Oryctolagus cuniculus: one gene and its partners. The protein of the gene in region 3 purifies or fractionates together with the protein of the main gene of each other region. This does not show direct contact. Links are inferred from orthologs where the notes say so. Each region holds a gene or a part of one and is shown on either strand. Other genes may lie near its edges. The genes, in order: IGF2BP3, STAU1, G3BP2, CAPRIN1 and ATXN2L.

Region 1 (6,058 bases), on a different chromosome or scaffold from region 3:
CTATGTATAATCCTTATCAGCACTAACAACAAAATCATAGGGAGGTTCCATCACAAATGGCTAGGCTGAAAATGGGAAAAATTATTTTCATAATATAAAAAAGCCATGGAAATTGAACTAAAACCACCATCCTCTCAGTTCCCCAGAGTCAGCAACTTTTTTTCCCCTTCCCTCTCTCATGCCCAACAGCCCACAACACAACAACATCACATCAGTGCTATTTATAAAATCACACAGGAGCAAATGCCCACAAATCACCAGCGGCCGTTCCCACCAAACTCAGCTACAACCTTTCAAAGTCACAACTACTTCCACACTCACCCAGACCTCCAAGGAAGAAGGAAAAAAGAGGCAAGCTTATACCTTGGGGGTGAAGTCTTCATCTGCCGTAGCCTTGGTATGTGGGACACAAAGCACGCCACCATCTCTCACCGGCGGAATCCTTCCTCCACTGTGGACGTGGGGATCTCAAGCCCTCTTAGAGACTGATACAATCTTCCCAAACTGAGGGGCATCTGAATGCTGAAAAGCCACATTCCTTCCACATTCCCTTGAGACTTCGGTCAGGAGAGAAGTAATCTCGGGGAGCTAAGCTGGATCTCAAGCAAACTCAACAATGCCCTCCCCCACCACCACCCACACCACCAGCTTGGCTCAAAATCAGAGCTAGACCAGCCTCCCAAGCATCCAACTGCCTCCTGGGCCTGCGCCCTGCTCGGGTGCTGAAGCCCATTCATCCATCTCAGAGACCAGCCATAAGCATGCTCCAGCACTAGGCTCCCAAGATGCCTTGCACAGCAGGTAGAAAGGTCACGGCTGTACATGTGGGCATGCTGGCCTCATGTGCACACAATGACAGACGGGAATGAAGGGCTGCCAAGCATAAAGAAGTCCGGCCAGCTTGCTTGGCACGCAGCAGTCTGTGACACTCAAGCCACTCTCACTGCTCCACCGCTGTGTGCCACTGCTCAGCTTTGCCACAGTACTGGGCGTGGGCTTGTCAGGGAAGCCTTCTCTGCCCTCTCCCGGGAGCCTGTGCAGGCGGTGGAACAGCCCAGAAACAGAGGACTGCACTACAGCTCCAAGGGTCACGGGAACCAAATCGTACTATAAATTTCCAGTAAATTTCCTGGATTCTCCTATTTAAGACATTTTAATACAAGCAAAGCATTTACAGCCCTTGATTGTTCTCTCAAATTAGTGCATAAAAAAGTTTCCACTGTATTCACCCCTTCACTCTGCTAGTGACACAGTATAATGCTAGTGAAAATTCACCTTGTTTACAACCTTGACAAACTTCCACAGAGACACTTGCTGCCTCTGGAAACGTTGTATCTAATGTGCTAAGAGGAACTACCGCCCATTACAAAGTAACAAGCATGTTCAGGGCTAGGCAAAAAAAAAAACCTTTAAAACAAGCAGTTGTTACCAGAAGATGTTTCTCAATCCCCTACAAGTGAGAAGAAATTCACAACAGTTGGAAACAAAAAGCAAGAGGGTGAAGCCATCATATATTTGCATGTAGGTTAATCCAATCTACCTGAAAACAAGACACTAAGTATTTACATTTAAAACTCTCCACTGTTAAAATGCCAGTCCTTAAAGCATTACCATTTTCTTACTTTTAATTCAACATTTGATGAAAACTAAGACAGTGCTTAAACTCTGAAATCATTTAGAATTTGCAGGTGTAGAGGTGTGTGTGTGTGTGTGTATTTAGGTTCACAATTCACATGCTAGACGTATACATTTCTTTTTAGAGGGATAAGACTTCTCCTTTCTTCAAGTCCCGTTCAATTAACATCAACTGAGACTTTTCAGTACAAATTCTATTATTTTACAGGTTTTTAAAAATAATTTCATGTAATTAAACATAATTCCCAACTACAACTAAATCTAATCGGTTACTCCCTTTCCTACGTATCCTAACGAAAATTCAGCGCCTAAAACCAGAGACCTCCACGTAAAACCAAGCCGACTCATTCCTAGAAACGAGACTCAGTTTGCAAACGCTTTACCCGGAAGGCAGCTGGTTGTAGAAGCAGGGGCGGCCGGACGCCGGCGCGCGTCCGCACAGCGAACCGTGCGGCCCCCAGCTCGCTCTCCCCGACGCCAGGCCGCACGTACGCAGGCCCCGGGGCGCGGCAGCCTGGAGCTCCTTGTCAGGCCCCGGCAAGGAGTGGGGCGGTGGGAAGCAGGAGCCCCAGGGCCACCCTGCAAGAACCCAGCGCCACACACAGGATTACAGAGCCCGATCCGGCCTGGTCTGGAAAACACTTCAGAGGCTCGAGGAGTCTGCACAACGCTGCCCCAAAAAAGGCACGCTACGCACGTTCTCGGAGAAATCCTCCTGCAGAGCTAGCACCCACCTCCCCGTCTCACCACCCTGGGGCTCAGCTGAAAGCAAAGAGAGACCCAGGAAAAAGGGGGCAGGGGGCGTGGGGGCGCAGAGGGAGACAAAGGCACGGTCGGCAAAGACCTGTGTGAGTCTGGAGGGGCCGAGAGAGGCTCCGCTGGGCCGGGAAGCCCAGGCTTCGGGACGGGACCCAAGCGCGGCCGGCGCGCCAGCAGGGTAGGGGCGAGCTCCGGCCTCGCGCCCCGGCTCCCGGGCAGGCCCACCGCACCTGGGCCGGCCGCAGCCTCCCGCGCCCTGCGGCACCACCTAGACCTGCTATGCCCAGAGCGTCCTCCGAGAGACCCCCTTCCTCGCCAGCACAATGGCCAAGAGCCCGGGGCGGGGTGCGGGGAAAGGGTTTGCGCTCGGTGGAGTCTGGGCTCCCAACAATGGGGCGAGAAAAGAATAAAGACGCTCACCTCTGCCGTTTTGGGACCGAGTGCTCAACTTCGATGGGCTTCCCGTGCAGTTCCGTTTTACCTGCGGACACACGAGACATGAGACTGTCGGGTCGCCGGAGCCCCGAGCCCCACACACCCTGGGCGGCGCCACCGGCCGCCCCGAGGCCTCGGCGCCGCCGCTACGCTGGTGGGCAGCGGGCCCCTCGGGAAGTGGGGGCCCCTCGGGTGGCAGCCAGGCACCGGGTCTCTCCGGCCTCTCCAGGACCCTCCCCCACAGGGCCGACTCGGGGGAGAGGGCGCCCAGTCCTGTTCTCTGGTCCCAGCCCAGGCCCTCCGGGAACCGTTGGCGCCGGAGCCGGGGCCGGCCGGACGTGCGGCCGAGCACAGGGCGAGCCGAGCGCCCACAGCCAGGCTGAGTCGGTAGGAGGAGAAGCCCTAAGACTCAGGGCTCTCGGAGGGAACCAGCGCAACCTTGCCGCCCCAGGCCTCGTCGCCCCGCGCGCCCCGGACCAGCGCGCGCGCCCCGCCAGTCCCGGAGGCCGCCGCCGCCCGAGCCCACCTGCCCCCGGCGCGCGTCGGACGGGGCGAGGTGGAGCCGGGGCGGCGCGGGACCGCCCGTGCAAGGCACCAGCCCCGCGGCCTCCCTAGGCAGCCCGTGTCCGGGATACCGTGCGCTCCCTTAGGCCGAGAGGCAGCCGGGTCCAGGCCACGAGTTAGCGAGCAGAGGTTAGCCCGCAGGGAGCAGCAGGGCGAGCAGGCGCCCGCGCCCGGCCCGGGCCCGGCGTGGCGGGGCCTGGAGCGCGCGCCCGCCGCGGCCCCGCGCCCCTCCGTGCCCGCGCGGGGCTTTCTTGACAGCGCGTCCGGCCCGGGCCCTTGGACCCCCGCGCCGCGCGCTGAGTGCCCGGCCTGGGGTCCCGTGGCGCCTCCGGGCGCGGCGGCCAGGCCGGGGCCCACCTGAGAGCGCCTCGATGGCCTTGAGGGCCCAGCCGTCGTCCGGGCAGTCCACGAAGGCGTAGCCCGCCTTCACCAGGAAGGGCCCCGACACCGGGATCTGGGCGTCCTTGAAGATACTTTCGAGGTCCGCGGGCGCCGCGTCCTCGCCCAGGTTCCCGATGTACAGTTTGTTCATCGCGAAAGGGGGCGGCTCGGAAACAGGAACACAGCGCGGGGTGGGGTGGGGGGACGAAAAAATGAAAAACACGGCAGCGGCGAGGGCCAGGTCCCGCAGGTCCGCGCGCGCCGAGCCCGGGTCCGGGGGGCGCGGGGTGCCCCTTCCCGGGCGCTGCAACCGAGAGCGAGGAGAGAGAAAGCCCAGCCCCAGCCCGGGCGCATCCACGAGTCTTCCCAACTCCGAGGAGGAGGAGGAGGAGGAGGAGGCAGAGGCGGAGGCGGGACCAGCCCGCGCGGGGGGAGGGGCGGGGGAGGAAACTACTTGGCGCCCCCCCCACCCCCGGCCCGGCCCGGCCCCGCCGCGCGGCGAAAATAGCGCCCGGCGCGGGGCCCGGCGCAGCGCCGCCCCACCAGGCCCCCGCAGCGCGGCGGGCACGCGGGAGGGGCGCGGGCGGGCGCAGGAATCCACGGCGAGGGCCCGGCTTTTTGAATGAGCCACGTGTTCAAGCTACAAATCAACGTCTCACGTGAGGAATCCCGGCGCCTCAATTAGAGTGGGTTTCGGAGGAGAGGAGGCAGAGAGCGAGAGGCGGTGGGGGTGGGGGTGGGGGTGGGGGTGGGGTGGGGGCGGGGCGGCGTGGGGGAGGGGCGCGGCCGGGGTGGCGGGGGACGGGGGGCGCCGCCGAGTTTGCCCGGGGGCCGGCGGGGCGGGAGCGAGGGGTGGGGGGAGGCCGGGGCATTGATTTTATTTTCCAGGGTGCAGGGGTTGGGGTTGCTTGCTGGGCAGTTCCCCGGCTCTCGGAACCGCAGTTTTTAATTATTCGATTTTTTTCCTTTTTTTTTTTTTTTTTTTTTTTGCAAATAGGTGATGAACGACCAAGGCCGAGAGTCACCGTCCCCAACTCGCCTGGCTGCCTGGAAGACGCCGGAGGTGCGGGCCGGGGCCTGTCCCCACCCCGCCCCGCCCCCCGGCGGCGGGGACCGGACGCGGCGAGGGGCGGGGGGCCGAGCCCCGCGCCCCCGGAGCCGGCGGGGGAGGGGCGCGGCGTCCGGGGCGGGCGTCTGCGCGACACCTCCTCCGCCTGCGCTCGCGGTGGCTCTCGGCTTCGCGATTGCCATTGGCTGCGCGGCTCGGAAAAGGCTCCGGGATAAATGAGGCCGGGGGCGGGCCCGGCCGCCGGTGGGGGAGGGGCGGCCTGCGGGAGACCCCCCCCCCCCACCGCGATCTCGGGGCGGCGAGGCGGGTTGGCACTTTTATGGAGACGATTTCAGTTGGAGAACTTGGGAGCCGTGCGGGGGAAGACCGCCCCGCGCCAGTCCTGGGTGGCAGCCTCACTTGCAAAATGGCCCGAGCCGCTCCCTGCCGCCTCGGTGCGCGCCTTCGGCGGGGCGAGCCCTGCGCCTCTCGCCGGCCTGGGGCGAGCACAATGGTGGGAGTGGGGGAGGGCCTCGGGCGGGGAGCCTGCGAGGGTCTTTCGGGTGCACCGGAGCCCTGGGATGGGCTCGTAGCAGACAGTCCAGGGGAGAGATGGAAAACGCTCGTCTTTAAAGTGAATGAAATCCTACGCAGCGCGGGAACAGGCACTGGGATCTTTAATGACTCGGTGTTCTCGGCGGCAGGAAAATGTGTTGTGAATAGAGAAGGTATCGCAATGTAGCTGCAAACATCTTCGGTAACTCACGGCCGGTGCCGTTGGCTACTCTTCGACCACATTATATACTGTGTGGCATTGAAAAGTGTTTCCCAATAAAGCGTGACCGGGACCTGATATTTTTTTTTTTTTTTGGAAGCACTGGAATTCTTGCATTGTGTTTACGTTTCGTCTCTTAAAAGGAACTTACTTTATGATTTTATGTTAAGTAACCGGAAGGTGTCAGATCATCCATTTTAAAAGCAGCTGTGTCTTCTAACAGGTTTTCCTCTCCTGCCAAGCAAATCCAACTTTGTAAACACGCTTTCACAATAATTTCATTCAGGTTTAATTCAGCAAAACGTTCTTACTTTGTGCTGTGGGAGAGGAAAACGCCCTTGTGGAGCTGTTATGAGCTTTATCTGGGAAGAACATTTTAATGGTGAAATTCCTCTGAATTTACAACTAGCTTTAAGTTTTCAAAGCTCTTGTTCTTTTCACCCTTTTTTTAAAAAGTTCTG
Region 2 (6,179 bases), on a different chromosome or scaffold from region 3:
AAATTTCCTAAAACTTTGTTGTATACTCGAAATGTTAAGGGAAAGTAACCATAGCAACTAACATGTCTTCTCACAGTTCAATCTTTAACTTGCAATTTATATTTTTTGGGATAGCATACACGCTATGACTTTGATTTGGGGGAAGGTTTATTTAAAGAAATGCTCATACAGAAAATTACCCCAGGAGCATTTCAACCACAGAGATCTCCACCAGAAGGTAATTTAAAACAACCTGTTTGGGGTCTAGAGTAAAACAAATCTGTCATAAAATTCTCTAAACATGTTTGATGGCTCAGAAAATCCCTTTCTGAGAAAAAGCAAGCAGTCCCGAAAGCGCTCCTCTAGGGGGAGGAACTTACATTTCCCAGACTGAGCAGTCTGTGTCACAAGTGTAAGTTCAAATAAGACGATCTCGTTCAGACTCGGAAAAACACGGTCTCCAAACCTGACTTAGGACGTCACACAAAGTCTCGTCTTTAGGCTGGTGAATTTCATTTTGACTCCATTCAGCAAACACAGTGTCCAAGAAGCTGCCCTACACAGAGACTCACTGCGCCTCCCCGCTAAAGCCTGCACGGTACCTGGGGAAGAGCCGGGATGGGCAGCACAGTCTAGGCCGCTGTTTAATGATTACCCTCAGAATAATATCAACCGTTTGGACTTCAGAGTTGGGAGGAAAAGTTCTGTGAGTCACGTTCATTTCTAAACTTAAAATAATCTGTGTATAAGTGGGTTTTCTGGCTGAATCTTAAAAGACAGCAATTTATCCTGAAGCAGCTATTTATGGTAACAGTTCTAAACACTTAAAAGTTTTACTGGTAAGCCTGATAGGAAGCACTAAGCACTGTTTAAAAAATAAATGTTGTGTCCTCCCCTAGATACTCAACAGATTTTTCCTCAGATTAATTTTAATTTCCAAATCTCCCAGGCTGTAGTAACTAAAATATAATATATAACGTTTCCACTGTACCCCTGATCAAGCTTCAATGAAAACCCACAAGAATGAAATAACAATGTTACAAGTCAAACTAGAAACTGTTCAGGACAGAAATTTGAAAATTACGTAACAATAGCAAATATTTATAATACTTCTAGGAGAGATCTCCTTTTAAACAAGAAAAATATGAACACTTATTTTGATTTCACACTAGTCACAAAACTTAAGATTCCACTCATAATTACTAACAATGTGCTGTTTGTAAATAGAGCAGATGGGGACTCTGGAAAACAATTCTACAAAGATTCTGAAATCAAACATCCTTCGCTTAATACTTACTGAGACGGCATTTATTTACACAACCAGCTAAAGAAACTTTGGGAAGCTTCATGGTGCATTACTGTGGTTTAACTTTGACACAAAGCTCCTGCCTATTTAAAGGGGCCTAGCAGGTAGGTCTCCACCAACAAAGGGATAGGAAATCTGTCTTTCTGATGGCTCTTCAATTAGTCTTTCATGGCTCAAGAGTTACTTTTGCACACAGAGAAGCAAGGCCACATTTGGGATTTGACTTTGAGAGCGGGACAGCACTGATCAAAACTAGCTCAGCTGCTAGTCTTTTCCCCACTGCACAGTAACCAAGTAATCTGTTCAGAGATGAGAAGCCAAGCAAACAAAATGACAACTGATTCTTTTAAAAGCACATTTTAGGAGCATTCTGGTAAAAGTCAAAATCTCTAACACTGTGATACGATGTTTAAGATTTGCTTCAAAACAATACAGTTTGGGGGAGGAGGTACAAGACTGCTCTTAACTGTAAGTTAATCATTGTCAGAGCTGGGGCTCTCACACTGGAGCCGGGGTTGCCTGCCCCTCGGCCGAGGGCCAAGGAGGCAGCACATGATGGAGCACGCAGTCCCCGACACCCACGTGGCAGCCTGGCCCAGGCCCAGCTGTGCGTGCGGCACCTGCGGAGTGAACCAGCGGATGGAAGCTATTTTTTTAAAAAAAACTGCCGAAGTTGAGCGACAAACACAATACCTAAGTCGTCTAGTCAATTTTCATGTATTTTCCACAGTGAAAAGTTTAAAAACAGCTTTATGTTACCCACTGCAATATTAAAACTTCCCTAGCACAACTTACCACAAGGTAGCAGAAAACATGCTTTTTACTGTTTGCAGAGTTGTCTGTTTAGCTGTTTTTAAAACGTCAAATTTTAAATCAGAAGCAATGTGACACTGTGTCAGAAAATTCTAGAAAAACCTAACAAGGAAGCCACTTTGCATTGAGAGATGTAAATCAAAACATTTTCATTTCTCTAAGGAAACGGACTAAGACAAGCCGAGGTCTAGGCGGACGTCTGCGGCGCGCACACTCCGTTTTCTCTGTCCTAACTCGAAGCTGAGCACCTCGGCGGCCGCAGCTCCCCAAGGACCGGCACAGCCGCACCACGCAGCCCAGCATTAGCAGAACTCGGTGCGCCCGTCCCCAGACGGCCAAACCGCTGCCTCCACACCCCGGCTGTATTTTTAGTTTCTGCTTCAACAAGTAGCAACGTAAGCAGAGGTCCCTTCCTGCAAAACCGTACTTCGACTCCGTCCGCCCGCTTCTAAACAAAAACACGCGCAGCACGGCAGCGCGACCCCAAAGCCCTCCGCACGGCCAGAGAACAGGGGCAGGCGGCTGGGACGCGCATCTGCGCGCGAACAGCCGAGAGCCTGCACCCACGCCGACGCGGCAAGGCAGGGGCACGGCCCCGACCCCGAGGACAGGCACGCTCGCCCAGCGCCGTCCGTCCACCGCCCTCGGCCCCGAGGACAGGCACGCTCGCCCAGCGCCGTCTGTCCACCGCCCGCGGCCCCGGCCCCGAGGACAGGCACGCTCGCCCAGCGCCGTCCGTCCACCGCCCCCGGCCCCGGCCCGAGGACAGGCACGCTCGCCCAGCGCCGTCCGTCCACCGCCCCCGGCCCCGACCCCGGCCCGAGGACAGGCACGCTCGCCCAGCGCCGTCCGTCCACCGCCCCCGGCCCCGGCCCGAGGACAGGCACGCTCGCCCAGCGCCGTCCGTCCACCGCCCCCGGCCCCGGCCCCGGCCCGAGGACAAGCACGTCGCCCGGCGCAGGGGCAGCGGCTGCCAGCAACTTTCCTAGAGGCGGGACGACCACGGGGAAGGCGGACCCGCGGCTGGCGCGCAGGGGGTCCGGCCCGGGCTCGCCCCCTTCCAGCCCTGAGCCCAAAACAATGCCCCCGGCGCCGGCGGGGGCCACGCCGAACACCGCTGCCTCCCCCACTCGCGCACGGGCAGCGAGGCAGCTAGGTAGGTCAACTTCTGTCCACTCGCCCCACTAAATTACACCTTCCTATCACGCCAATCAATCATGCAGGCGGTTTATTGGGGACACGCTGTGGGTCTGGCGCTCCGATAAGCGCTTCACACGCCCCATTTCCCCGAACCTCCGCAGCCAGAAAGCGGCAGGACGGTCTCGGCGCCCCTCTCCCCAGCCCACACAAAGAGTTGAAGGGGCCGCGCCGGGGCCGGACACCTGGGCCGTGCCCGCCGCACGACGCGGACGCTCCGGACCCCGAGGGCTGGAGAGGGGACACCACCAGCCCGGCAGGAACTTCGCTGTCCCCGCGCGCCCGCCCAGCGCAGGGCGCCAGGCACCTGTTCCCGGCCCCGGCGAGAAAGCGGCGGCGGGGCTGGGGGCGCCGGAGGACCCGCCTCTCCCCCACCCCGGGCAGGCCCCGCGGGCGGGACGCAGGCCCGGGCCGGGGGGAGGAGGCCGGCGCGCGGCCCGCCGAGGCCTAGGCCCCACCCGCCGCCCGCCGCCCGCCGCCCCCCGCCCCGTGGCCGCCGCGCCCGCGCGGGCCCCGCCGCGCTCGGCCGGCCGCCTCACCTGGCTGCTGCCCTCAGCTCGCCCCTCGGCCGGCGGTCCTGGGCGGCGGCGGCGGCAGTGGTGGCGGCGACGAGGGGAAGGAGGAAGGAAGAGGGAGAGGAGGAAGGGACGGCGGGTGGGAAGAGGCGGAGTGGCTGCGGAGGAGGCGGGCGCCGCCGCCGGGCCGGGGGGTCCAAGAAGCGGGGAAGCCGAGAGAAGAAGCGACGGCGGCCGGCGCAAACGCTGAGGAGCCGCTCCGGCGCCCGCAGCCCGGCAGGAAGTGACGGGGGAGGGGCCGGCGCCCGCCCCCGGCCCCCGCCCGCCTCCAGGCCCGGCCCCACCCCCACCCGCGGCCCAAACCACAAGTCCCGGCGGGCGCTGCGGCGGGGCCGGCGCCCGCAAGGCACACCGGGAGCCGGCAGGCGGGGCCTGGTCGCGGCGAGGTGGCCGCCGCCCGCCCTGGGCCAGCGGCCTGCTGGGAGTTGTAGTTCTGCCGGGCCCCGAGCGGGAAGGCGGAGCGCGTGCCTTCTGGCCTCCCGCACTTCCTTCTTCCTTCTCTCAGTCCGTCCTCTCGTCTCGCAGGTGTCGTTCCCTTCGCTCCCGCCCTCAGGGCCTCCTTCCTCCGCCATGTGCGAGGCGCTGCCCCGAGAGCTAAGAACGGAACGGACAAACGCCCGTGCCCTCATGGAGCTTACGTTCCAGTGCGGATAAAAGGCGCGAATAAAATCATTAACTTGCTAGGTGCACTGAAAGGCAAGATAGGGGCCGGCGCCGAGGGGAGCGGTCAGGCACCTGCGATGGCAGACTCTCTCCTTCAAATAAATAAAGCTTAAAAAAACAAACGAAAAGATGATGTGGCTGTGCGCGTTAGGACCCCAGGGCTCCGCCTATCACTTCCAGGCCGACTTTCTTCTGTTTCCGTACACTGACAGCAAGTGCCCACTCTAACAGAAACAGCAGTGTAATTTTAGATGAGAGCCAACTTTTCACGGGGACTTTATGCGCTCTGCCCATTCCTATATAACTTATCTTGCGGGAAGGAGCAGGCAGAATTTGGAGTAACATCTCCAGTGCTCAGTTTCTTATTTCCATCTTCATCCTGAAACAAAGAAAAATAATTCCTTAATTACTTGGCAACAGCCCAGAAGACTTGAGGCCTTTGGGAAAAAAGATGTGACTGCCAGTCCCTAAGTACAAAAAGAAAAACACGTCTAAGGCTCCCCTCCCACACCCAGCAGCCCCACGACGAACCTGTGCCTTGGTTAACACAGTGGTCCTCAAATGAGCGCTGTGGAGTGACTGTTCGCGCTGTTTTCCTCTTCTTCCTCTCTGTCTTTGGTTTTGTTAGTTTTTAACGGCTGAACAATTTCAACACATAGTAACCTGGCTTTGTGACCTCTCTCCAAAAATGAGGTGGCCAGGCAGCATCGGAGAGCAACAGTCCAGCCACACTTGGGCTCCCACAGCCCACATCAGGGGGCCTGGGTTCGAGTCAGCTCTGCTCCTGCTCTACCTCCCAGCTAACGCACCGCGGGTCATAGCTCCAGCACCTGCGTCTTTACCACCCAGCTGGGAAACCCAGGTGGACTTCCTGGTTCCCGGCTTCAGCCTGGCTGTTGTGGGCATTTGTGGAGTAAACCAGCAAAAGAAGAATCTCTCTCTCCCTCTCCCTCTCTCTCTCTCTCTCTCTCTCTTTCTCTCTCTCTCTTCCTCGATAAAATGAAAACAAAAACATTTTTAAATTTTGGGGGATGCAGCTAACACAATACTTAGAGGGAAAGTTGTAGCAATTAACGTTTAATTTAGAAGAGCAGAAAGTCTCAAATCAATTATGTTTCCACCTTAAGAAACCAGAAAGGGCGGGTGTTAGAGCGGAGCTGGTAAAGTCACCACCTGCAACACCTGCATACCATATGGGCGCTGGTTTGTGTCCAGCAGCTCCACTTCTCATCAATCTCATTGGTAATGGCCTGGGAAAGCAGCAGAGGATGGCCCCTGACACCCACCTGGGAGACCCAGAAGAAGCCCCTGGCTGCTGCCTTTGGCCTGGCCAGCCCTGGCCGTTGTGGCCATCTGGGAACTGAAGCAGCTGATGGAAGATCCCTCTCTCTCTGTCCCGCTCTCTCTCTACCTCTGACTTGCAAAAACAATAGTAAATCTTAAAAAAAAAAAAAAAAACTAGAAGATCAAATTAAACCAAAGCAAACAAAAGGAAATAATAAAGAAAAGATATTAATGAAATTGGGAGCAGAAAAACAATAGAAAAAATTCATCAAATGAAGTTATCTCTTTGGGGAAAATCAATAAAATTGGCCAGAAAAAAATCCAGAAAAGCTTTGACAAGTGCAGAACACGTGGGTGTTTGT
Region 3 (5,571 bases):
TTTGATATGGAAATGAAAAACTTCTATTGAGAGTATTACTGATTTTTCTTTTGGGTGTGCCTTAGCAATTAGAAGGTAATGAGCTTTTGTAAGAATTAGGTGGTTAAAATGACTAATTTGTTTTATCTGTATAAAGTTAGATTTTGCCATTTGCCCTGCACTATTAAGCATATGTATAATATTCTCTGTCTTACCTGGAAGAAGCTCTTGGCTCCTGCCTTCAGCCTGGCCCAATCCTGGCTGTTGCAACCATCTGGGGAGTGAACCAGTGGATGGAAGATATCTTTCTCTCCTCTCTCTCCTCTCTCCTTTCTCCTCTCTGAACTCTGACTTTTGGATAAATAAATAAATCTTTAAAAAAATATATTCTGTCTTAGTCCGAGAGATATTTTTATATTTACTCTTTGTTGTCCTTTTCTAAGTATTTTTATATAGGTATATCACCTCATGTAATCTTCATGACTATCTAGGAAGATGAAGGTACTTCTGTTATCTCACTATGCATATCCAACTGCTAAGCCTTTGATTAGTAAGGATAGTAGTAATTCATCCAAGATCACTCAGTAAATAAATGAATTGTTATAGTCATTATTCAATCCCACTTCTTTTTTTCTTTTTTTTTTTTTTTTCTTTTTTTTTTGACAGAGTGGACAGTGAGAGAGACAGAGAGAAAGGTCTTCCTTTGCCGTTGGTTCACCCTCCAGTGGCCGGCGCACCGCGCTGATCCGATGTCAGGAGCCAGGTACTTACCTGGTCTCCCATGGGGTGCAGGGCCCAAGTACTTGGGCCATCCTCCACTGCACTCCCTGGCCACAGCAGAGAGCTGGCCTGGAAGAGGGGCAACGGGGACAGAATCCAGTGCCCCAACCGGGACTGGAATCCGGTGTGCCGGCGCCGCTAGGCGGAGGATTAGCCTAGTGAGCCGCGGCGCTGGCCGATCCATTTTCGATTAACTTTATACACAGGAGACCAACTCTATACTAAGTAAAGAGTTCAACAATTTGCATGGTTTAAAAAAAAAAAAACTGCTCTTCAACAGTCAAGACAAAGGGTTCAAAGTCATTACATCTTGAAGTTAATTTCACTTTTTTTTTTTTTAGAAACTTAATTAACTTTAAGGAAGCATCTAAGAATGATACATCTTTAGGAAGTACTTAGTCATGGTTATAATACAACTCTTTGAGGACAGAGGTCCTGCATGAGAAGTTAGTGCACAGTGACTCTTGTTATTAATTTAATAATTAACACTCTTAAGTGACATCAGTGACCATCTGAGGCTCTTGACATGAGCTGCCTAGGCTATGGTAGCCTTTTGAGTCCACAAACTTCGTCAATATTTAGAAAAGGCCATAAGCACAGTGGAAGTTCCCTCTTAACTTCAGAGAAAAGTACCTCCTTTGATGACCTCTTCTTTGCATTGGGGCCTCACCCACAGAGGTCCTTCATGTAGGACATTTTTTGCCTCAGTGTCTTGGCTTTCCATCTTACTTGTTTTATTACAATAGGTGCTGAACTCTATGAAAACATGAACATTGTATCTTTGATAACCTTAATTTAAAAAGATGTTAATTCTAATTGCTAAGTTTAGGTAATGTCAGAGAAAGACTATAATTTATCATATATTTAAGGGCGGTATAAAAATATTAACAAAAATTAAATTCTAAAGTAGTTGTTGATTTTTTTTTACTTGGTCTCTGAATTTGTTATTTTAAATATAACTTTTAATATAAGCCTTTTGAATTAATAACCATTTGAAGCTCTGGAGAGTGTTTGGGGAATTATTTGGGAACAACTGATTACCGAATGAATTTAGATAAGTGCATTTTTATATCAGAAAAAAATCTATAAAAGATGTGGTAAGAATTAGATGAGAATAGCTAATGATTATTAGATATGCTAAGCATTCTATGTGTGTTACACTCATTTAATCCTTAAAACAATCACATGAAAACAGTTAATGTTCTGGTTTTGTAACCAAGGAAACTGAACTTAGAGTTAAGTAACTTGCTCAACATTCAACAACTAGTGACATAGCTGGGCCTGGAGCCTAATCTGTTTGATATGTGGACCTTTTACCTCCTAGGCTTCTCTTGAGAATTCAGCATTAATCTTCAATTATTGATGGTTTTGCAGGTTTTATGGCAGGAATTCCTCCTATGTTCATGGTGGTGTAGATGCTAGTGGGAAGCCCCAGGAAGCGGTTTATGGCCAGAATGTAAGTACTGTGTCATAAGGATTTAGATTTTTGTTTTTGTACGTTAAGATAGATTTCAAAAGTAGCCTTCTTGTGCCCATGGATTTTTTTTTTTTTTTTCAATTTGATCAGTTGTAACTGGAATTTATATATCAGTAGTTATCTAGAGTGCTCTTGGTTCTTAAACATTCAATTTTTGGTAAACTGTGATACTACATTGAGATGGATACAGTGGAGAAGATGGGATGTTTTATATCCTTATTTTTTTTTTTTAAAGATTTCTTTATTTGAAAGTCAGAGTCACACTGAAAGAGAAGGAGAGGCAGAGAGACAGAGAGAGAGAGAGGTCTTCCATCCGCTGGCTCACTCCCCAATTGGTCGCAATGGCCAGAGCTGTGCAGATCCAAAGCCAGGAGCCTCTTCTGGGTCTCCCACGCGGGTCTAGGGGCCCAAGGACTTGGGCCATCTTCTACTGCTTTCCCAGGCCATATCAGGGGGCTGGATTGGAAGTGGAGCAGTTGGGACTTGAACTGGCGCCCATATGGAATGGCGGCATTGCAGGTGGCATCTTTATCCACTATGCCACAGTGCTGGCCCCATCCTTGGTATCTCTTATATGTGGAATACTTACGACAGTTTATTAAGTTTATATATATATCTGTGGTTTAAACTCTATGTTATAGGAATGCACGGAAATATTTGCTTCTTAGGACTTGAAAGGAAACCTTTGGAGAGATGTGGGACTTGACTTTACCAAACAAGAATAAATTGGAAAAAAATGCCATCAGCATGTACCAAAGTAAAGTAAAATTAAGTGTGAGGTCAAGGAGCAGTCAGTACAGTCTGTGAGGAGAGCTAAATGTTTATCAAAGAAAAATAGGAGAAAGCTGTAGAAAGCACAACAGGGAACTGTTGTGATATCTTACATAGAGAGGTGACATGTTGAAAATGGTGATTTAGAAATACCAGTCTGGCGGTGGTGCATAATAGCATAATGGGAAATGGATTCAAATGAAACAGATTAAGTTGTTAACATGTTAGAGTTCAGAGGCAATCAGTGAGGGCAAGTATACAGCATTGTGTAGGTAATGAGTAATCACATTTCCCCCCCCCCCTTCCTTATAAAGGATATACACCACAAAGTGTTATCTTTGAACTTCAGTGAATGTCACACTAAGATTCGTCATGTGGATGCTCATGCAACCTTGAGTGATGGAGTAGTTGTCCAGGTCATGGGTTTGCTGTCTAACAGTGGACAGCCAGAGAGGAAGTTCATGCAGACCTTTGTTCTGGCTCCTGAAGTAAGTTTCTGTTTTCTCTTAGCTTTCATTTATATAATTTAATTTGGCTCATATACTTGGTTGAATTGTCTAAGAGTTTCTTCTAATAGGCTTAGGTTTGCTTTTTTTTTTTTTTTTTTTTTTTTTTTTTTTTTTTTTTGGGACAGGCAGAGTGGATAGTGAGAGAGAGAGACAGAGAGAAAGGTCTTCCTTTTTGCCATTGGTTCACCCTCCAATGGCCGTCACGGCTGGCGCGCTGCGGCCAGTGCACCACGCTGATCCAAAGGCAGGAGCCAGGTGCTTCTCCTGGTCTCCCATGGGGTGCAGGGCCCAAACACTTGGGCCATCCTCCACTGCCTTCCCGGGCCACAGCAGAGAGCTAGCCTGGAAGAGGGGCAACCAGGAAAGAATCGGGCGCCCCAACCGTGACTGGAACCTGGTGTGCCGGCGCCGCTAGGTGGAGGATTAGGATTAGCCTATTGAGCCGCGCCGCCGGCACATATTGTTATTTTTAAAGAAGTTTTTTTGGGTCTGTTAAAATTTATTTGAGTTTGTATACATGTGTGCCTTGACTACTTGGGATTAAATCAGATAGTGATACAAGTGTGTAAATGAATGTTTAATTACAGCAATAATCAACAATAATACAGAAGGTATATTTGTATGTCTCAAAAGTTACTTTTTAAAGACTTATTTATTTATTTATTTATTTGAAAGGCAGAACCACAGAGGGAAGGACAGAGAGTAAGAGGTCTTCCAGCCACTGGTTCATTCCCCAGATGGTTGCAACTGCTGCAACTCTGTCATGCCCAGGAGCCTGGGGCTTCCTCCAGTTCTACACGATTCTGGGGGCCCAAGGACTTAGGCTATCTTCTACTGCTTTTCTAGGTGCATTTGCAGAGAGCTGGATTGGAAGTGGAGCAGCCAGGGATTGAACCAGTTGCCCATATGTATGGGATGCTGGCATTGGCAGGTGGCTGCTTTATTGGCTACCACCACAGCACTGGCTCTTTTCTGTTGAATATTCATTTTGTGAGGTCTGATGATCCTTGAATGAACTTTTTAGAGTTTACTTTATATTAACATCATAACATGATCTGCTCTGGAAAATTATATTGATTGCAGAATATTTATTAAGGAAATTATGTATGCCATGTAATTTGTTCTTTAGACATTTATGGATTATTTGCATGTTATTTTCCTATAGGGATCTGTTCCAAATAAGTTTTATGTTCACAATGACATGTTTCGTTATGAAGATGAAGTATTTGGTGATTCTGAACCAGAACTTGATGAAGGTGAGGTTACTTTGTTGATAGAAGGGCTCTACCAGTACTTTTAAGGACACTTTGATTTCTATAAGACTTAGAGAAATTTGCATCTACTTTTTTTTTTTTTTTTTAAAGATTATTTATTTGAAAGAGTTGCACAGAGAAAGAAGGAGAGAGAGAGAGGGGTCTTCCATCCGCTGGTTCACTCCCCAGTTGGCTGCAATGGCCAGAGCTGTGCTGATTCAGAACCAGGAGCCAGGAGCTTCTTCCCAGTCTCCCACATGGGTCTAGGGGCCCAAGGACTTGGGCCCTCTTCTACTGCTTTCCCAGGCTATTGCAGACAGCTGGATTGGAGTGGAGCAGCTGGGATTCAAACTGGTGCCCATACGGGATGCCAGCACTGGAGGCTGCAGCTAAGCCATGGCGCCCACTCCAATTTGCATCTATTTTAATTGAATCAACCTCCTTTACTCCTTATTTTTCTCTTTGTTACAAAAGGTATAGATGTTCATTATATGAAGTTACATAAAAAGCAGACATAGGAAGTGAAAAATTTTCTTCCATCAGTCTCATCCATGTTTGGTGCTAACTACAGAGTTGTTTTGGATCCTGTACTTAAAATTTTTATAGAAATGCTGACTCAAATCTTTTTTGCCCTTAATATATCCTTGTTGGCTGTCCATTTGGTGGCTTTGCCATAATTATTTTAATAAATTTTCCACTGAAGGGTACTGGATTGTTTTCCTTTGTTTTTCATTATTGCCATGTTACATCAGTGTGACAAAGGAAACTGAATTAGAGTATAATAAATACCAAGCTTCAGTCT
Region 4 (6,177 bases), on a different chromosome or scaffold from region 3:
AAAGAAAGAAAAAGCTTAATCTGTTGATCATGCCTCTGGGTAACAAGCCAAGGAAAGGCAAAGTGCCCTTGTGCCCTTTCTTTACCACACCTTATTACAAGTCCTCTTCCATTCACAACTGAATCACTGGAAGTCTAAGTCTCTGGTTCTCATACTTTACCATGCGTCAGGATTACCTAGTAGGGTTGTTAAAGCACAGACTGGGGGGCCAGCGTGTGGCAGAGCAGGTGAAGCCGCAGCCTACAGAAACAGCAGCCCCTGTGGGTACTGGTTTGAGTCCTAGCTGCTCCTCTTCTCATCCAGCTCTTTGCTATGGCCTGGGAAAGCAGTAGATGGCCCAAGTGCTTGAGACCCCACACCCACTTGGGAGACTTGTAAGAAGCTCCTGGCTCCTGGCTTTGAATCCACTCAGCTCTGGCCATTGTGGCCATTTGGGGAGTGAACCAGCGGATGGAAGACCTCTCTCTCTCTCTCTGTTTCTGCCTCTCAAAGAAATAAACTTAAAAAAAAAAAAAAAAAAAAAGACTTGGGCTCCACTTCAGGAGTCTGATTCTATAGCTCTGGTATACCAAAAGGGTATTTCATGTACCATCTCAAAGACACTGACAGGTCAAGTTCCAATGAGGTGATTTTTCAAACTGTAATGTATATACACACCTGCAGATCTTGTTAAAATGCAGGTTCCTTCAGTAGGTCTGGGTTGGGCTGAATATACTTGATTGCAGGAAGCCAAGGATTATAATCTTACTTTCTAGCCTCTAGGTCTAGCATAATTGTTCATCACAGTGCCAAGAATAGTTTAGGTACTTAAATCTTGAATAACCTAAGGCCAATTTCAATTTCCCTCACACCTAACATATAACTGGTTAGCACATCGGGTATAAGGAATGCAACCTCTTATCACCACCTTCTCTGCTACACCCTGCCCTGGCTACCACATGTGGGCTGAGCTATTTCAATAGATTCCTAACTGGTCTCCTAGCTTCTGCTCTTGCTCCACCCTCACTTTCACTACCAAAACACACATACTGTAAATTCTTCACACAGTAGTAAGAGTGATTTCAAACACTGGTTGACACCCCCCTGTTTGAAATGATGACTCCTCATTGCACTCACCGAATGCCAAAGTCTACGTCCGCTATCGGCCCCTGTAAGACTGGCTCCCTTTTAGGTCTTTCACCTTCACTCTGTGCTGTGGCACTCGGACCTCCTTGCCTTGAATCCACCAAACACACTCCAGCTCAGTGTTTGGTGTTCCCCTACCTGGAAAATTCTTCCTCCAATGAAGCTGCTTGGCCTTCTACCTCACCTCCTCTGGTCTTGGCTCAAATGTTACTCAGTAGGCTTTTCCTGACAGCACCCCCCCCCCCGCCCCTTTACAAAATTTGTTTTCTCCTCCAATACTCTATTTGACATATATTTACTTGTTTTTCGCTACTCAAGAAACTGAGTTCCATGAAGATATTTATGTTCCCAATCCCGAGCACTGACACTTCCGGCATGCAGGCGGGTGCTCAATAAATATTTGAAGGAATAGATAACACTTTGCAGCTAAGGGGAGTATCTTGAGACCAGAGGCTGCCCCAGGAAGCACCGCTGGCCAGCCAGTGTTACTCACTGAAGTCCCCAGGGAACAGTGGGTCCGCTGGAACCCTCTTCTACATCCCGTCCGCATGGAATTTGAATCATAGATTGGTCCTTTACTGTTGTCCTACAACATTATGATGCGGAATTTCCCACTGATCATATTCCCTTTAATACACTGCTTCCAGCGCTTGGCTACTTATTTTCTGCTCACTGCCCACACCCACCCCACCCCAAGGCTGGAATAATCCTCTTGGATTTTTAAAATTTCATTCAACTTTTTGTTTTAGGCTGACACAAAGGGGGAAAAAAAGCCGAATAATTCCCAATACTCGGGTCTACCGGATACATTTCATGCTAGGGTAGCTGAAGATCAAGTTTCGCGTGCGCGTGGAGTCCTAAGGCTCAAAATGCCATGGGTCATGCCCATTCCCGGCGCGTTCCACAGGGAACTCCTAGGTTACCGGGTGACTGGAGAAAAGGGTCTGGCGTCTGTTTTGAAAACACCTTTTGAGGTGCGCGAGTTTGCTTGCTCTGTATTCGGGAATACTGGAAGCTGAGATTGCAGCACCCACCCCACGCACCCCTTACTTGCAGAAACCTCTGCCCCCCCCCCTCAACCCCCACCCCCACCAAATAAGGGCTCTTCCTAGGGCAGTCGCCAGCTCCGGAGCCAGCTGCTTGACACCTATTGTCCCCGTTTGGACGCCAGGCGACTTCGCCTGAAGGACCCTAGCTTCCATTTCGCTCCAAATGCCAAAGCGGCGCCACCGCGGCCTCCCAGGGCCGCCCCGCCCTGGGCCCAGGGGTCACCCCCGCCAGCGCAGGTGCTGGGGCTCTTAGGGGAGGCGGCCGGGCCGGCGCTTCCGGGCAGGCGTTCGCGCCGGGCAGCCCCAGCGGCCGAGGAAGGCCCCGCTCGCACGTCTCCCGCCCCCCGCGCCCTAGAGGGCTGGCTGGCTGGCTTAGTCCCTCCCGCTGCCGGCTCTCGCCTCACTAGGAGCGGCTCTCGGTGCAGCGGGCACAGGGCGGAGCGGCCTGCGCCCACGGAGCGCGCGACACTGCCCGGAACGCACTTGCCACCCTTTGTCCCCCTCAGCTGCCCACTCGGGATCTCCAGCGGCCTCCACGCGCGCACGGTGAGCGCCAGCCCGGACCGCGGAGGCGCTCAAGGGGAAGAGGGCCGCTGCGAAGAGTGTCCTTTACCTCCGCATCGGCGGGAGCTTCGCGAGGGGCTTGCTCCTCCAGTCCTCCCCACCCCCAGCCATTTCCAGTGCCCTTCTCTACCCGCCCCCCCCACCCCTGACCTCCGTCTCCCCTCCCCTCCTCGGAAGGCGGCGCGTCCCGGCCCGCCCGGTGGGGACCGTTGCACTGGCCGTTGGCGGCCGGCGCGGCGAGGCCCCGCCCCCGGCGCGAGCCTCGGTGCCCCGGGGCGGGTAGGCCGAGCGGCGGCTCGCGCGGGGGAGGGGGGGGCGGGGGGCGGCGCGAGGCCGGCCGGGCGCCCCGCTGGCGGGTCGCGCGCGCGCGCCCGCGCTCTCTTCCTGCCCCGGCGTCGTGCGCGCGCGCCCCCTCCCCCACCCGCTCGCGCAGGCTCCCGCCGGCTGCGCGTTTTGTCCCGCGTCTCGCCCCGTCCGTCTTCTGACTTGGCCGCTCTTGTCCTTCCTCCCGCTTTTTCTTCTCTCCCTGCACGGTCTGAAGATGCCCTCGGCCACCAGCCACAGCGGAAGCGGCAGCAAGTCGTCCGGACCGCCACCGCCGTCGGGTTCCTCAGGGAGTGAGGCGGCGGCGGGGGCCGGGGCCGCTGCGCCGGCCTCTCAGCACCCCGCAACCGGCACCGGCGCCGTCCAGACCGAGGCCATGAAGCAGATTCTCGGGGTGATCGACAAGAAACTTCGGAACCTGGAGAAGAAAAAGGTGCCAGGACCCGGCGGGAGAGGGAGGGTCTGCTGCGGCCGGGCTCTGCGCGCCCCCCCACCCCCGCCCCCAGCCGCTGGAGCTGCACTTCCTGCCGCTTTCCTGGGTCCCGGGCCCCCACGCCCAGTCTCCGTGGTCAGCGGGAGCTTCGTGCCGGAAAGCGGGCTCCTGGGGGAGGTGCCTGTCACCTGACCCGGACGCGCTGCGGCCCCGGGGTCTGCGTGCGACTCGGGCTTCCTGGCCTTCGGGCTTGGCGAGTGTGCGGGCGGGGGCCTGCCGCCGCCTCGCAACTGTGTGATGCCCTTGGCCCCCATCCGACGAGGCCCGGCTCCTTGGACCAGGGCCAGCGGGGAAGGCCGAGGAAGTGCCGGGGCGGGGGGCTCCGGGCTCAACCGCCTGCCTCGTGGAGTTGGGGCGGCCCGTGTCGCACAGCCCCGGGGTTGTCCGCTCCGTTCCCGTGTGCTCCGGCCTGCTGACCGTCCCCTCTTCCTCCTCGGGGAGAAGCGTGTTCCGCATCTCAGAGCAGAATGGCCCGTGTTTCCGTGCGGCCCGTTCTGAGCGGGCCTCGGCCGTGCGTGCGCTGCCCTCCGCCCCCAGCCACCGGGCTCCCCCACGTTTCCCTCTTTGTTTCAATTGTCTGGGTGTCCCCCGGGCCTCACGCGCAGCCGGATCGTGGGAGGACTTCCCGCAGCGACTCTCCGCTCCCGGGGACTGAGGAGGGGCTGGGGCACCGCCACGGCGGAGGCTGGCCTGGGGGGGTGGGTCCGGCTCGGCCTCCGGGCGTTCGCTGGGTCTCCGGGCACATGGAGAGAGTCTAACATGGCGGCGGCTGCGGGGGGAGGGCAGCGCTGTACTGGAGCTGCATTGTGAGCACAAAGCGAAAGCAGAGGGGGAGGGCCGAGGCCGGCAGCCGCCGGACTGGCCTCTCGCGCCCCCCCCTCCAAAAGTAATCGAGCCACACCCACTGGTTTTGGATTCAGCGTTTGGTCATTCTGGTCCACTCCGGAGGGCTGCCTTCCAGGCGGCCTTTTGTTTTCTGCTCTCTGCGCAGGACAGTGTCCCAACTCTGCTTAGCAGGGGTGTGTGCGTGTGGATGGAGAGGGGCTCGCAAGGGAAGGTTGGAGGTGGAAAGGAAGAAGCAAAATCGTCGTGGAAAAAATGGAGCAGTTACATCGGTGGCTGTTAATGCTCACTCCCTTTTACAGCATAACTTTACTTGTCCGCCCCCGGTACCACCTATTCGTGATAACAACTCGCATTTTTGAGGATATTTAAAATTGCTTAGTTAGCCGTTCACCTTATAGTGTTACTTAAGGTGTTGAGACAGTGTGAATGTATGGCAAAAATTTGAGCTTAAATGCTTATAATGGCTTATTTACTGACTTATTTTACTTTTTGAGGGGGATTTTAAAACAAACTGTCTCTCCTTAAGTAATAAAGGTTGGAAATTTTACTTGGCATTTCAAGGACTTTATTTGAAATTGAGAAATGAAACAATCTTAGGATGTCTAGGTTTGTTTTTTTGGGGGGGGAAGTAAATGTATTTTATTATTAGTGAACGGAATAATAGGCCTATCTGTATAGCTACGTTCAAATGTAGACTAAAACAAGCATGCCCAAGGCTAGTACCTTGAGTGTTGCCCATGGAATTTAATTTTATGCTATCCTATTTGAAAATGAGTTTAACTTTGGTGTCTTAAAGTCTTCTCAGTGTAATACACAGTCCTGTCAATCTGGCTGATGCTTGAATGCCTTAATTTTCAGAATTTCTTGGAAATCTTTTTTTAAGATAGGAATCAGACCATAAATGTTAATGACATATTTTCAGTATAGACATTTATGTTAATGACTGAAGAATAATTCTTAAAAGACAAATATGAAGTAAGGCACTGATAAATCGCCAGCTTAGTTGTGAAGTGACTTACATTCTGGTGTTCAGGTACATCTGAAAAACAGAAATTTTGTTTTTAAGCCCGGTGAGGACTTGAACCATGAAAGGTTTCCCCCATGTGTACAAGGTGTGTATACACTCACATCCCCTCCCTCCAAATTATGGGAGACAGAGTAATGTAATTATTACAGAGGTTGTTGACTGAGTTTATAAATACTGAGATTGCCTTGTAATGATAGAGATTTAACAAATTGCACAAAGTAACAAATATATTTTGCATATTTTTCCTGCCATTTCAGAGTTTTGGGTGCTAGATAGCAAGAAAGTCAAGTTACAGTTAAGTGAGGCGTCTTCATAAGCCAAAGCCTGAGTACTGATTGGTTAAATAGTCGTTATTGTAACTAAAACTGTATTTTACTTTTTTGCAAAATTCAGGCATACTCATTTTCCCCTAATTTAAACACATCCGGTTTTTAGTTTAAATTTCTTTTTCTTAATATCTAGCTGTTTTGGCTCTATGAGAGGATTTACAGTGATTCAATAGGAGTATTTCTAATGTACCTGAAATAGAACTTGCATTACAAATCAGTTTTGAATTCCTTTTTAGGAACCTTAATGGAATAAAGTAAGATAGCATTTACAACTGGACTTATTTTTGTATCAGCCCATTAGTAACATATTTGACTTGTATTTCAGTCATGACCTATTCATATTGGAACCTTCTGTACCAAAATATCCTTTCTTCCCCCTGTGGATTCTAACATCAAGTACCCTGATATAATTTACTCAAT
Region 5 (5,571 bases), on a different chromosome or scaffold from region 3:
ATGGGTGGAAAGCACTGTTTTCTTGTTCAGCCACCCATTCCTTTCCTCTAGGACTTAAAATACATAAACCTGGGCCAAGCATTCAGCTAGTAGCTTAAGATGCCCCATCCCACGTTGGGAGAACCTGAGTTCGGTGTCTTTTCCTGCAGATGGAGACCCTGGGGGCAGTGGTGATGGCTCAGTCATTGGGTTTCTGCCATCCCACAGGGGACCTGGATGGGGCTCCTGGTTTCAGCCTTGGCCCAGCCCTGGCCTTTGCAGGCATTTGGGGAGCCAAGTAGTGGATAGGAGCACGTTGGTCTCTCTCTCCCTTCTTCCCTCCCTCTTTTTCTCTCCCTTTCTCTCCCTGTTGAATAAATACCGTACTTAAAAAGCAAAATGCATAAGCATCTAAGTGCCTCTCAGATGCAGACATGCCTGGGAGCTCTGCCTGGGCCCCAGTAAGATGTTGGTTTAAATGCTCGCTGGCTTGTTGAAGGGAATGCTTGATTGGTTATAGGACTGATGAAAATGTTTTTCCTTTTCCCCTGTTTGTCCTTGGCACTGGGATGCTGCTGGTCTCAGGGTGCCCTTAGAAAAGGACAACTCTGAAGAGTTCCGTCAGCGGGAGCTGCGCGCAGCCCAGCTGGCACGAGAGATTGAGTCCAGCCCCCAGTACCGCCTGCGGATCGCCATGGAGAATGACGATGGGCGCACCGAAGAGGAGAAGCACAGTGCGGTCCAACGGCAGAGTTCCGGGCGCGAGAGCCCCAGCTTGGCGTCCAGGCAAATGCTGGGGGCGGGCAGGGCTGTTTGGGCTTCACTGTAGGGTCCAGGGCCCAGGCCGAGCGCTTTGTACAATGTTTGAGCCTTAGGCCTTAGTGAGTTGTAGGTTAAAACAGTGATTTCCAGTTTCTAGATTTAGGAGACTGAAGCGTAAAGACATTAAGTAATGCTGAAGGTAACAACTTAAAGCTTAGGAATTTGGGAGGGGTGGGGGATTCTTTTTCCGTTTCTAGCATACATTTTTTCCCCTGTATGTTTGTACGTGTTATAGGTAACTAAATTAAACTAGACTCTCTGTGATCTGTGTCTTGTAAAAGGTGCAGCTCGAGCTGTACTGTGAGCTTACTTTCTCGTAGGTCAGGCGCGGTAGACTTGTGGTGCACTGGCCGGGTTGGTTGGGTCAGGGTTGTGTAAGAGAGGGTCATGAGCGTGGAAGTCGTAGGACATTCAAGTGAGACAGTGAAGGAAGCTGGAGCGGTTAGCTGGGGAGGGCTTGGAGAGAGGCTTCATGTTTCGGAAGTCTGCGTGTGGCTGCCTGGCCTGACTGCGCTCTTTCGCCCAGGGAAGGGAAGTACATCCCTCTGCCTCAGCGTGTTCGCGAGGGGCCTCGGGGAGGAGTGCGCTGCAGCAGCTCTCGGGGTGGCCGGCCCGGCCTGAGCGCTCTGCCGCCTCGTGGCCCTCACCATCTGGACAACAGCAGCCCTGGCCCAGGCTCCGAGGCACGAGGCATCAACGGAGGTGAGTTCAGGAAGCAGGCTCGGTGTGGTGGTAATTGGAAGGGCGGTGCATTGGTGGTAATGTAGGAACTGCGGCTCTGCTTTCTTACTTACAATTTTCATTTAAAAAAAATACAGGCCCTTCCCGCATGTCCCCTAAGGCACAGCGGCCCCTGCGAGGTGCCAAGACTCTGTCCTCGCCCAGCAGCAGGCCCTCTGGGGAAGCTTCTGTCCCATCTCCCCCTGCAGGTAAGACTTCATAGTGCTAGGGAGTGGCTGAGAAGCAGTAGCAGGACGGAGGTGTGTGGTGTCGGAGTGCTGCAGTGGGCCGTGGCTGGGTGGCAGGGGTCTGAAGGGTTGGCGTTTACCCCTTTTGGAAAAGAATTTTTCAGTTGTCCTACTGCAGAAACCCCAGTCCAGGAACTCAGGGTGTGTCTGACTGGCAGCTGTGGTTTTTTTGTTTGTTTGTTTGTTTGTTTTTTAGATTTTGCCAACATTTTAAAACGAGATGCCATAGGAATTTTCCAATTCCTTTTGAAATATAAACCGTTCTACCAACCCCAAGCCTACTCTTAATGGGCTGGTATAGAATCACTACTGCCCTGGAAACATTGCTGTCTCTCCTGAGGCCATTTACCTGCTTCTGTTAGCTCCTTGGGAGTCATAGGTGCACTTCCGTGGTGTTCTTGGTGAGCCCCGTGCTCACAGCAGTAACCATTGTATAGCTCTCCCTTTTCTTCCAGTGGGCCGGATGTACCCGCCACGCTCGCCCAAGTCTGCTGCACCTGCCCCAATCTCAGCTTCCTGTCCTGAGCCTCCCATCGGTTCGGCAGTGGCAACTTCTTCAGCCTCCATCCCTGTGACCTCATCCGTCGCAGATGGTGGCGTGGGTTCCATTTCCCCAGCTTCTCCAAAGATCTCACTGGCCCCTACAGATGGTAAGAGCGGGGTGGTGGAGGGTGTGGACAGTGTGAAGTGGGGTTCTGGACAGGGTGACCTTCAGGCATCTCTCCTTGCTCAGTAAAAGAACTGTCCGCCAAGGAACCCGGCCGGACTCTGGAGCCCCAGGAACTGGCCCGGATAACTGGGAAAGGTGAGAGGTTTGGTTCCTGCCGGTGCCTGGTGCCCCTTTGTGCGGGGAGAGCATTTCCGTTAGAAAGCTGGCTGGGATTCCGAAGGCAGCACTACTCTGCTCTTTGATTCCGATTTCTCTCCGGGTTCTCGGGAGCTGCTGTCTTCTTGCCTGGGCTGTTGGCGCTGGGTAGCCAGCTTCAAGAAAGAAATGTATTGTTTTTCCTTTTCCACTGTTTTCTCGTAGTCCCTGGCCTTCAGAATGAACAGAAACGATTTCAGCTGGAAGAACTGAGGAAGTTTGGGGCCCAGTTCAAGGTGAGGGCAGGGGAGTGAGCTGGGATTGCTAGCGGTCGCAGGGTATGTGGAGGATGGAGAAGTGAGGACTGGGCAGCAGTTTCAGTTGAGGAGTGCCTGGTTCAAGTCTTAGTTTCTCCGCTTGCGACCCAGCTTCCTGCTAATGCACGCCCTGGGAGGCAGCAGATGGCTTAGCCACCCTCATGGGGAGACCGGGATTGAGTTCTGGGCGCCAAGCTTCAGCCTGGGCCAGCCCTGGCTTTTGCAGCCTTTTAGGGAATGAACCAGCACATAGAAGATTGATCTCTCTTTCCTTTTTCTCTGAGTTTGAAATAAAATGAAAATAGTTTTCTAAAAAGTGGGTAGGTAGGTAAGGGAGGAGAGCTGAGCATTGTGCGGGGGTGAAAGGAGGCAGGGCCTGGAGTCTTGACATTGCTGTGTGTGTCTCTCTCCTTCCAGCTTCAGCCCAGTAGCTCCCCTGAGACCAGCCTGGATCCTTTTCCTCCTCGGATCTTAAAGGAGGAAGCCAAAGGGAAGGAAAAGGAGGTCGATGGTCTGTTGACCTCAGAGCCCTTGGCATCCCCGGTCTCCTCTAAGACAGAGTCCGTATCGGATAAAGAGGACAAAACACCCCTGGTACCAGCTGGAGGCACCGAGGGGCCAGAACAGCCCCCACCACCTTGTCCAAGCCAAACTGGCAGCCCCCCAGTGGGCCTCATCAAGGGAGATGACAAGGATGAGGGCCCTGTTGCTGAGTAAGTGGGGTGGGAGCTGTGGGGACGTTGGGTGATAAGGGGCAAGCCGTGAGGATTGACCTCATTTTCTCTCCTAGACAAGTAAAGAAATCAACGTTGAACCCTAATGCCAAGGAATTCAATCCTACAAAGCCTCTGCTATCTGTGGTGAGATGGGACGGGAGAACATGGACTTGGGTTTCTGTGGGGGAGTCTTGGGGGACAGTGGAGCAGTGGAGAGCACTTGGTCCCAGGGCCACTCAGCTGGCAGTGCTGGGGGAACACCGTATTTGTATGGGGAGAGCAGCTCGCGCTCAGGGCTTCTCAGGTTCCTGGCATTTGGTTCAGGGGTTATTTGAGCAGGGAAGCTGCAAATAATAAGCTTCATTCAGGCCAGCTGACCTGGCCCAGCCGCTGACTTAGAGGTGTGATGTTGGACAAGCCAATGAAACCGGCCCCATTTTCCTCACCTGTGAGTGGAGAATGTGCATCTCACAGGGTTTGGCGTGGAGCTTGTCCTAGCAAAAGCACACAACACGTTTGGTTCATAGCCATCTGGGGGTGCTGTGTAGCTGTTGCGGAGGTCAGACAGAAATGATATGTCGCTCCTTGTCTGTTACAGAACAAATCCACCAGTACCCCAACTTCTCCAGGGCCCCGGACTCACTCAACTCCCTCCATCCCGGTGCTGACAGGCCAGAGCGGGCTCTACAGCCCCCAGTATATCTCCTACATACCTCAGATTCACATGGGACCAGCTGTGCAGGTAAGAGGCCGGGGCACCTCAGCAGGGAGGGCTGGCTTTGGTTGAGCTGGCTGAGCCGCCAGCTCAGCCTCTGGGCTTTTCCCGGCCTGTCACAGCGCTTCTGTGTCTGTCCCTAGGCGCCCCAGATGTATCCATATCCTGTATCCAATTCAGTGCCTGGGCAGCAGGGCAAGTACCGGGGAGCAAAAGGTGAGCAGGGTCTGGAGGGGCCGTCGGCGGGGCCGCCTGGCGCCTCCTGGCAGACGGAGCTTGAGCTCTGTGCTACTTTGCCCCCATCTGCAGGCTCTCTGCCCCCCCAGCGCTCGGACCAGCACCAGCCAGCCTCAGCCCCGCCCATGATGCAGGCTGCCGCCGCCGCCGGCCCACCCCTGGTGGCTGCCACACCATATTCTTCCTACATCCCCTACAACCCCCAGCAGTTCCCAGGCCAGCCTGCTATGATGCAACCCATGGCCCACTACCCCTCACAGGTGACTGCAGCCCAGGAGGGAAGCGGGGAGGGGGCCCCCCAGCTCCTCACTCCGGGACTGGGTCAGGAGGACAGGCGGTGTTCTGGGTGGGGATGGTGGCAGCCTTGGGCACCTGAGCCTCAGGCTTCTCTGCCTGGTCGGGTTGTTATGAACGTTCAGGAGTAACGGGCAGTGTGGTTGGTGCACGCGGTGCTCCCCTGCCCGCCATGCTGACCCCGCCTTTGTCCCAGCAGCCCGTGTTTGCCCCCATGCTTCAAAGCAATCCACGCATGCTGACGTCGGGCAGCCACCCCCAGGCCATTGTGTCATCCTCCACCCCTCAGTACCCTTCTGCAGAGCAGCCCACCCCCCAAGCCCTTTATGGTGAGTCCTGTGTGCCCTCCCCCGCTCTGGGCTGTGGCCCTCGCCGCTTCTGGCGTGCTCAGCACAGGGTCTCCCTTTGTCCCGCAGCCACTGTTCACCAGTCCTATCCGCACCATGCCACGCAGCTCCACGCCCACCAGCCGCAGCCGGCAACCACGCCTACTGGGAGCCAGCCGCAGTCTCAGCATGCGGCCCCCAGTCCTGTCCAGGTGCCTGCTGGAGGGGCAGGAGAGGGTGGTTAGAAGGGAGGGCTAGACAGGGGATGGCTGGCCCTGGACAGAGGAGTGGGTGGCACTTACCTTCCCTTCCCCTGCAGCATCAGGCGGGGCAGGCCCCACACCTGGGCAGTGGACAGCCACAGCAGAATCTGTACCACCCAGGGGCCCTGA

The links.
Region 1: the proteins of G3BP2 (region 3) and IGF2BP3 purify together in Homo sapiens (affinity purification with mass spectrometry; 3 studies listed by BioGRID and IntAct, with this or other methods). This does not show direct contact. The link is inferred for Oryctolagus cuniculus from reciprocal best matches to the Homo sapiens genes G3BP2 and IGF2BP3.
Region 2: the proteins of G3BP2 (region 3) and STAU1 purify together in Homo sapiens (affinity purification with mass spectrometry; 3 studies listed by BioGRID and IntAct, with this or other methods). This does not show direct contact. The link is inferred for Oryctolagus cuniculus from reciprocal best matches to the Homo sapiens genes G3BP2 and STAU1.
Region 4: the proteins of G3BP2 (region 3) and CAPRIN1 purify together in Homo sapiens (affinity purification with mass spectrometry; 5 studies listed by BioGRID and IntAct, with this or other methods). This does not show direct contact. The link is inferred for Oryctolagus cuniculus from reciprocal best matches to the Homo sapiens genes G3BP2 and CAPRIN1.
Region 5: the proteins of G3BP2 (region 3) and ATXN2L purify together in Homo sapiens (affinity purification with mass spectrometry; 4 studies listed by BioGRID and IntAct, counting the BioPlex papers as one, with this or other methods). This does not show direct contact. The link is inferred for Oryctolagus cuniculus from reciprocal best matches to the Homo sapiens genes G3BP2 and ATXN2L.

The regions. Positions count from the first base shown.
Region 1 is NC_091447.1:15,443,166-15,449,223, forward strand, and holds the start of IGF2BP3 (insulin-like growth factor 2 mRNA-binding protein 3), read right to left. Parts: upstream 4,158-6,058; 5' UTR 3,926-4,157; coding exon 3,751-3,925; intron 3,527-3,750; exon of another isoform or gene 3,356-3,526; intron 2,876-3,355; coding exon 2,815-2,875; intron 1-2,814. UniProt on the Homo sapiens protein: RNA-binding factor that may recruit target transcripts to cytoplasmic protein-RNA complexes (mRNPs). This transcript 'caging' into mRNPs allows mRNA transport and transient storage.
Region 2 is NC_091442.1:11,269,990-11,276,168, reverse strand, and holds the start of STAU1 (double-stranded RNA-binding protein Staufen homolog 1), read right to left. Parts: upstream 4,096-6,179; 5' UTR 3,835-4,095; intron 1-3,834. UniProt on the Homo sapiens protein: Binds double-stranded RNA (regardless of the sequence) and tubulin.
Region 3 is NC_091439.1:90,245,563-90,251,133, forward strand, and holds part of G3BP2 (ras GTPase-activating protein-binding protein 2), read left to right. Parts: intron 1-2,133; coding exon 2,134-2,215; intron 2,216-3,321; coding exon 3,322-3,495; intron 3,496-4,681; coding exon 4,682-4,772; intron 4,773-5,571.
Region 4 is NC_091432.1:31,910,041-31,916,217, reverse strand, and holds the start of CAPRIN1 (caprin-1), read left to right. Parts: upstream 1-2,394; 5' UTR 2,395-2,720; intron 2,721-3,279; coding exon 3,280-3,495; intron 3,496-6,177. UniProt on the Homo sapiens protein: mRNA-binding protein that acts as a regulator of mRNAs transport, translation and/or stability, and which is involved in neurogenesis, synaptic plasticity in neurons and cell proliferation and migration in multiple cell types.
Region 5 is NC_091450.1:7,680,563-7,686,133, forward strand, and holds part of ATXN2L (ataxin-2-like protein), read left to right. Parts: intron 1-564; coding exon 565-765; intron 766-1,327; coding exon 1,328-1,503; intron 1,504-1,619; coding exon 1,620-1,730; intron 1,731-2,206; coding exon 2,207-2,419; intron 2,420-2,502; coding exon 2,503-2,574; intron 2,575-2,799; coding exon 2,800-2,870; intron 2,871-3,308; coding exon 3,309-3,604; intron 3,605-3,681; coding exon 3,682-3,751; intron 3,752-4,205; coding exon 4,206-4,349; intron 4,350-4,465; coding exon 4,466-4,538; intron 4,539-4,631; coding exon 4,632-4,819; intron 4,820-5,049; coding exon 5,050-5,182; intron 5,183-5,269; coding exon 5,270-5,391; intron 5,392-5,498; coding exon 5,499-5,571. UniProt on the Homo sapiens protein: Involved in the regulation of stress granule and P-body formation.